Linked DNA regions of Coturnix japonica. The protein of the gene in region 1 purifies or fractionates together with the protein of each later gene. This does not show direct contact. Links are inferred from orthologs where the notes say so. Each region holds a gene or a part of one and is shown on either strand. Other genes may lie near its edges. The genes, in order: ASXL2 and OGT.

Region 1 (3,815 bases):
TCCCCTGGTGATGTTGGCGTTGCTATCTGCTGAGGACACAGTGACACAAGTTGTTCCATCCCTGACAGTTGATGCCCCGCAGGCCTGGCCGGGACCTGCTGGAGCAGAAGGTGCTTTCTCTTGTTTGTCACAGCCACCAGCACATGAGGAGCCCGAATCCTGATTTATAGCCATGTTTGGGGGGCTCTGTTTGATTCTGCTGACTTGCTCTATCGCTGATGCCACTGGGGAGGAGCAGCTGGTACCTGTATTGCCAGCTGCACTTCTGGATTGCAACGTGGAAGTTTGCTGTAGTTGTGCTCTAGAAAGACTGGGGGCTGCTGGCTGCTCCTGGGTCTCCATTGGGGAATGGGTCCCTGGGCAGCGTGGAAGAAACCTTCTCGAACTTCCCCCGCTTCCAGTTCCTGCCAGTTCCAGTGCGTTTCCTCGTGTTCCAGTTTCACCAGCTCCGCTCGTCGCTGCGTTGCCTGTCCCTCCACCGCCCGCTGGGCCCCCACCGGGGCCCGGCCCTGGAACTGCTCCCCCCGAAGAAGCGGCTGCGGCGGCTGCGGCGGCCGCTGCCCTCTGAGCCCTGACCTGCTGGGCTTTGGCCTTGATGTCCGCCAAGGTTCTGGCGCCTGTTCTGGCTGGACTGATGAGTGAGGCTGGGAAACGTACCCTGGGAGAGACCTGGCCCGCAGGAAATGGCATGGGGGAGATTCGGGAAACAGGAATCTGTAAGAGAGGAGAAAAGTGGAATTGATATACAGGGAATGTTTGACCCACATCATTAAAGACAGTTTAGATAAATGCTTTCGGAGTTCTAACTTCTCATTTGAGAAGAATACAAAGAAGAAGGTCCACATCCTTTTGATGTCTGGCACACCTATTTTGGGTCTGTAATCACCTCGTTAACTCAGGCTGGAAGCTCTTCCCTTGAGGTGCCCACTGTTCCAGCACACCCCATCACTACAAAGCCTACTGAGCTCCCTCAAAAGTGAACAAAACTCAACACCTCTCACCCCCTTAGTGTAGGTTTTGTGCTTAAAATTACATGTAAGCAACCCACATCCATTTGTACATCTGTGAATTGCTCTTCTACTCCTGCATGTCATTTCACTCCTTGGTGTCCTTTTATGAACTAATAATACTCTACTGTGCATCTTCACATAAAATGCCAAATTTTAGTCCTGTCTTCGAACATACGTTCTCCACTCCCCTCACCTTTGCAGTTTACTTTGTGTGATCCCCCCTTCTTCCTAAAATGGAAATGATGAGATCAGTGCACTCATAGTAGTGCTTTTCTCTTATCTGTAGCGACTTAAGCTTGTATCCCTTGAAGTCACATTTGTTTTCATACATTCACAATACTTCGCTGACTCCCAGTTACCTTCTAATCTTAATAAGAGATTAGAATTCTCAGAACATACAGAAATAGAGCAATTGAATCATTTTCCATGCACAGTTTCTGCCTAAGGCCCCGAACAAGGCAGCTGAGCTGGGAATTTCCTGGAAGCTCAATCGCAGGTGTGTTTCTTGTGGCCTATGTCTGAAGTATGAGAGAAGAGCGCTGTTCAGGCCAAAGCCTGGAACCCTTCTGTCACTCTCAAGCTTTGCTTCTGTTTTCCTTTCTGTGAATCTATTGCTTAATTCACAGAATCATGAAATCATAAAGGTTTGAAAGACCAATAAGATGATCTATTCCAACCATCAGTCCACGCCTGTGACCACTCAAGACCATGTCATCTTTTTATATGTAGATTCCTGCTAAGATTCAGCAGATAAAAGGCTTTTGGAATTGAGATGTTCCCTAAAATAGTCCTCTGATACTTCACTGCATTCAGTACTAATGATAACCGCATCATTTTTGGATTTATTTTTAACACAGGCAAATAATTTACTTCCTGAGCTTGATATTGTAGAGCAAACTGCTGGCAGCATTCTTTCTAGACCTGTTCTTTTACCAATGGGACTACACCTACAAAGTTCCTTGTGTTCTTGAGCTGCAGCTCCCTTTGTGATTTCAGTCCTGTAATTGCTGGAGCTTCTGGTTAAGCAGGTCTCATAGCAGATGTGTGTGTCCAGGAGACTTCACTGAATTCAATTCCCTTTAGCAAACAGCATTTTTGGATCAAACATTTCCGTCACAGCAATAAGCAGGCAACATAACTTGCATGCAGAACCAGAACTGAGCTGACCCAGAAGCACTGACCAACATGAACCCATTCTGTGCATCTGCCTTCCTTTCTCCTTACCTTGAGTGGGGGCACGCGTGGCACGGGGGGCCCGGCAGGAGGAAAGGACTGCGTTTGGCTGCGAAATGCTGGCTGCTGCTGCTGGCACTTCTCCGCAATGCGAGGCTTCTTCTCAGGTGTAGTCGAAGCTCCTTCACTGCTCTCTGACTTCCTCTTATGGCCTTCGACACTGACCTCCATTTCTTCATTTACAGGGGGTTTCTTTTCTGGCGTTGGTGGGGCGACCACTGGACTTGTCACCTTTGCCACTGCTTCACCTGCTTCAGGGCTCTTTGGTTTGCTTGGGGCCAAGACCGGGGCACGTGCAGCCTCCTTCACTTCCTTTGATGCAGTGTGCTTCCTCTCTTCTTCCAGCTTTTGGCTCACAGCAGGCTGTGGTTTCTCTTGGATGGGTTCTGCTTGGATTCTCTCTTGGATTTGGGGGTCACTGGGCTTTGCTGCACACCCAGCTGGGGAAGCTGAGGCCTCGGCAGGTTTGGCTGCTTTGGGCTGCATCTCTTCTCTCCCCTCCTCTCCTCTTTTCTCCTCTCCTTTTTTCACCGCAGGTGCTTCATGGACCACTTGTGCTTTAAACTCCGATGGAGAAGTCATCTCTTCTTTGACTGGCATGCATTTTGGCTGTTCTGCCGCTGGCTTTTCAGCCTCTCTATCATCAGCGCTGGTGTTGGCTGTCAGTCTCTCAGACTCTTCGGGACTTAATCCAGAACTAACAAGAAAAGCAGAATTTTTGTTTTGTGAAACATCCTTGCACAAAGCACGCTATTCTTACAAACACAAAGAGGGCTGCCTAAATGCCATACCCAAAGTAAACAGAACTCGTACTGATTTGATGCCACGATCTTTGAAATCCTTCACTGCTGTTATTGCTTCCAAATGAAACAGAACTTGATAGCAGTGTTTAAAACCAACTAAACAAAGTACGTGAGCACGCATTAGATCGAGGCCTCTGCCCAAATACTCCCTTTCCAAGCTGCAAACCAAAAGAATTTGGCCAACAGTAAACATTTCCTTTCCTCGTCCCTGCAGGCCTATCTCTGCCATATGCAAAGTGCCTCACACAGCCCACATCTAGATTCAGCTCATATGGTGACACTTCCTGAAAGGGACTCCAGGCTCCTGAAAAACATCTCCCAGTTTTGGCCAGCAGCAGAACCACCGATGGACCGACCCTCAGCTTAGAACCAAGACTGCCTGTCCTGTTCATTCATCTTTATTTACAAAAGAAATGAACAAGTCGGGAATCTAATGAAGCTAGACCTTGTTGAGGGCTGATGAAAGGTAATGGTGTACTGGTGGGCAGCACATGAAATCCACAGGACTAAGTGTGCCCAGTGAGGCAGTGAGGAGGTAAAAAAGATGCTGAAGTTCCTTACCTTTGGCCATAGTAGCTCTCAAAGAAGTGTTCCTTCCACAGCTCAACCTTCTTTTCCTTTTCTATCTCTTGACGTATTCTTAGCTGCATTTCTGGTGTGAACTCACCTGCAAAATGCAGGAAGGGTCATGTACACAGCCCATGTCCCTCAGTGCCACATCCCCATTGGTTCCAGAACAGCTCCAGGGACGGTGATTCCACCACCCCCT
Region 2 (3,815 bases), on another chromosome or scaffold:
GCAATAGGCTTCATCTTAGTTTGATCAGTAATCTTATTGGCTTTCTTTCCTGGAAATGCTGTGCCCTGAAATAGCAGGGAGTTTCTTGTCTTAATCACTCCACCACCAAGAGAACCAATCTAAGCTGCATTGGTGCCCTTTTAAAATGTGGTTTGATCTCTTGTGAGATTTTGACCTCTTTTGATCATACTAAGATAACCCTTCTTTGTATGTGTTGTAATGTGGGGTATTGGTACTATTAATGTGCATTGTGGTTGAGGTTTTTGGTGTTATGGGTCAGTAGCACTCTTACCTATTTCTTTTGAACTAAATTATCTTGTTTATCTTCATGTCTTTACAGTTTCAACATACTGGCTCCATGTTCTAACAGAGTCAGTGACAGTGAGTCATTCCCATGAATGTCAAGTTTGTCAACAGTACATTTATTTTGGCTGGCAGCAGTGGCAGTGAGATAAACTTTAAATATATATATATATATATATGTATGTAAAACATTAAATTTAAAACAGACAGAGGCTGTAAGTACCTGTTTTGCCATATCTGTAAGGACGTTTCCTTCTGACCATTGCCTATTGCTTAAAAACAAACAGAAAATAGCCTACAAAAGTCCGTCATTCTGACTTTGAATTATACTTCCATTTTACTAATCCTCAAGACTAAGAATACTAAAAGAAAAAACCCATCCACCCCAACCCCCAAAACAAACAAAAAGAAATCCCTTTGCTTTCTAAATACTGTTCTCTTCTTCCTTCAAGCCTTGCTCTCATTTTTAGTTTCGAGGCAGTGAGGTGACCTTAAGGAGGGGAGTGCTCCTTAAATGCCTCTTCTTTCTAATGACCTGGAATTGCAGGGAGACGTAGCCAGGGCATGAAAATGCCCAGTGTTTTGTTCCTTGGTGGTTGTAGCATCGTGGTATCCACAAGCATGTACACACACCACTTAAATTCTTGTTCTGGGTAAGTAGACAATGTAGTCTTTGTATAAGAAGTGAAAGATAAGCTTTGAGTAACTTCTGATGCCAGCACGTGTTGCAGTATGTATGTCAGGAATGTTCCATAGGGCATAAGCACGTTTTCTTTATTTTCAGCATTCCAATGGCTTTATTTTTTTTTTTCTTTATTTAGATTAACAACAAAGCAGCAACTGGAGAAGAAGTTCCACGAACCATCATTGTTACCACCCGTTCTCAGTATGGCTTACCAGAAGATGCTGTTGTATACTGCAACTTCAATCAACTCTATAAGATTGACCCTTCCACGCTGCAGATGTGGGCTAATGTGAGTATCTGTGGATCTGGAAACTAAGATCGAACCTCTGGTCTACAGTGGTATTAATTTATTCAGAAGTGCGTTGCAGTGAATGAATGAGATCGTGGATTTCAAGACTTACTTTTCAAGTGCTGCTCCATACTCGCTCAGAATTGTTTCTTTTTCAGCAGCATTAGGAATTCAGTACTATTGTGGTCTTGTTTTTTGCTCTGTGCTCCAAGAGAGAAAGTACTGAGTGACGAACGCTTTTAACTTCATCTTGTTACATCATGACCTCTTGTTATCCAAATAAGGAAAGCTTTCTAACGTAACTGTTTTTGTCTTGATTTTTTGTTACAGATCCTAAAAAGAGTTCCAAACAGTGTGTTGTGGCTGCTGCGTTTCCCAGCCGTAGGAGAGCCCAATATTCAGCAGTATGCCCAAAACCTGGGTCTTTCCCAGAACAGAATCATCTTTTCTCCTGTTGCCCCCAAGGAAGAGCATGTGAGGAGAGGGCAGCTGGCTGATGTTTGTCTAGATACTCCACTGTGCAATGGGCACACGACGGGGATGGATGTGCTCTGGGCTGGGACTCCTATGGTCACCATGCCAGGTAACGCTGTGGGAAACCTGGATGGAGTGGGTGAATTTGATACCGTTATTGTAACCATAACAGGGAGTGGGTCTGGCAGACTTCCTCATTTCCTCTAGAGAAACAGGTCTGCACTCTGTAGCGTGTTACTTGGTAACTCCTATTTGTGTGCCTTTACAGGTGAAACGCTTGCGTCACGAGTCGCTGCCTCCCAGCTTACTTGCCTTGGTTGTCTTGAGCTTATTGCAAAAAGTAGGCAGGAATATGAGGATATTGCTGTGAAACTGGGAACTGATCTGGAATAGTAAGTAAACTTGCACTTTGTAGCTTGTTAGATCAAGAATGAAAGTGCTGTGGTGGGTCACAGTGTTGAGTTTATCAGTAGTTGTGCGTATTAGCCTAATGTTGGAAATAGGACAGTTCTCATCTTGAGGTGTTGTAGAGTCTTGCAGTTAACTCTGCTTCTGTTTTTGCAGTAAATGTAACAGGGCTCCAGTAACGTGGCTGCTGTTGTGAAGGAATTGCTCAAGTACAGGCTCTTGTCTGATTAAAAACTGCACCATATTTCACTTTTAGTTCTTGTAGGTTGAATTTGAAACAGTTGTAGGTTAAAACTGTGCAGTAATACAGAGCAGAATAGTTCATGTGACAACTGAATGTCACAGCTGTTCTGCTGAGATAATGCTGGTTGTATCAGAAACGAAGAGGGAGTGAAACAGCCACATGAACTTGGTGTGGAAGTTGCCGTTTTTGTACTGGCAGTTCTGGGTCTGCTGAAACCCATTTTAAAAGCAAACAGCACTGAGAAGTGTTGGGAAGCGTTTGTGACTGCCTTCAACTTATTTTTGCAGCCTGAAAAAAATACGTGGCAAAGTCTGGAAGCAGAGAATATCCAGCCCTTTGTTCAACACCAAGCAGTACACCATGGACCTGGAGAGGCTTTACCTTCAGATGTGGGATCACTATGCTGCTGGCAACAAACCGGACCACATGATCAAGCCAGTGGAAACCAGTGAATCTGCATGAAGAGACTTGTCTGTGTGCCCAGCCAGACCTGTCCAGGAACTCAGCCTCTCTAACACTTGTGCAGAGACGATGAGCTAAAAACTGTGCATTTCTACTTAATCTGCCTGGTACTCTGTGGCTGAAATGATACACGATGGTAATTAGAGCACAGCCGGACCGTATTTCTTGCATGATAGGGGAAGACTCTATAGAGCCTGGGATCCTTTTATTCCATGAGGAATTGGAACGGGATTGAGCCGTGTACATGTGAGCCTCTATGTGTGAGAGGAGAGGTTGGTGGGGGAAGTTTGAACTGCCCAACCAATTACGATCCCTTGGATTTGATGCAATCTTCTGACGCGTTTGTCTCCTTATAGATTGGGAATTGGAGCCTCTTAACGATTGATTTGGGGTACTCCTGGTGGTATACGTGTGCTTCTCCCATGGCAAGATTTCCAGCTAGCGAGTGTTGCTCCCTGCATTCATTTCTAGACTGTGCGGACTGAAGGGCATATTTGCTGGTGTAGTCTTTTTTTATAGGTTTTATAAACCACTCGAGCCTATATCAGCCTTTTAATGTTTGACCTCTGTTTTGGAGCTCTGTAACGTGTTGGTTTAGATAAGGACTTTTTTTGTTCCGTTTTTGTTTTTAAGCTTCTCCAATAACAGCTGATTGGCATCACGATGGCAGCTCCTATTCTGTTAGAAAACCAAATTTGATCGGAAAACGAATCCTCCCCCAAAAGCGTTTGAGGAAAAGGAAAAAAAAAAACCCACAAACTGGTGCCAAATACGTTTCACAAATGGGTGGCAATGGTGTATAGAGGGCGCAGCCCTGCGGACTGTAGCGAAGACTTGAGACAAAACAAATAAAGCTTTGGTTTGCCAGTTTGACTGTCACGGTTCTTGGCTTTACTCGTCGTGCAGCTGCTGTGCTGAGCTGCTGTGCTGAGCTGCTGTGCTGAGCTGCT

What was found.
Region 2: the proteins of ASXL2 (region 1) and OGT purify together in Homo sapiens (affinity purification with mass spectrometry; 3 studies listed by BioGRID and IntAct, with this or other methods). This does not show direct contact. The link is inferred for Coturnix japonica from reciprocal best matches to the Homo sapiens genes ASXL2 and OGT.

Annotation. Positions count from the first base shown.
Region 1 is NC_029518.1:95,657,616-95,661,430, forward strand, and holds part of ASXL2 (putative Polycomb group protein ASXL2), read right to left. Parts: intron 3,714-3,815; coding exon 3,608-3,713; intron 2,941-3,607; coding exon 2,235-2,940; intron 715-2,234; coding exon 1-714.
Region 2 is NC_029519.1:2,145,652-2,149,466, reverse strand, and holds the end of OGT (UDP-N-acetylglucosamine--peptide N-acetylglucosaminyltransferase 110 kDa subunit), read left to right. Parts: intron 1-1,124; coding exon 1,125-1,277; intron 1,278-1,607; coding exon 1,608-1,860; intron 1,861-2,019; coding exon 2,020-2,143; intron 2,144-2,690; coding exon 2,691-2,865; 3' UTR 2,866-3,735; downstream 3,736-3,815. UniProt on the Homo sapiens protein: Catalyzes the transfer of a single N-acetylglucosamine from UDP-GlcNAc to a serine or threonine residue in cytoplasmic and nuclear proteins resulting in their modification with a beta-linked N-acetylglucosamine (O-GlcNAc).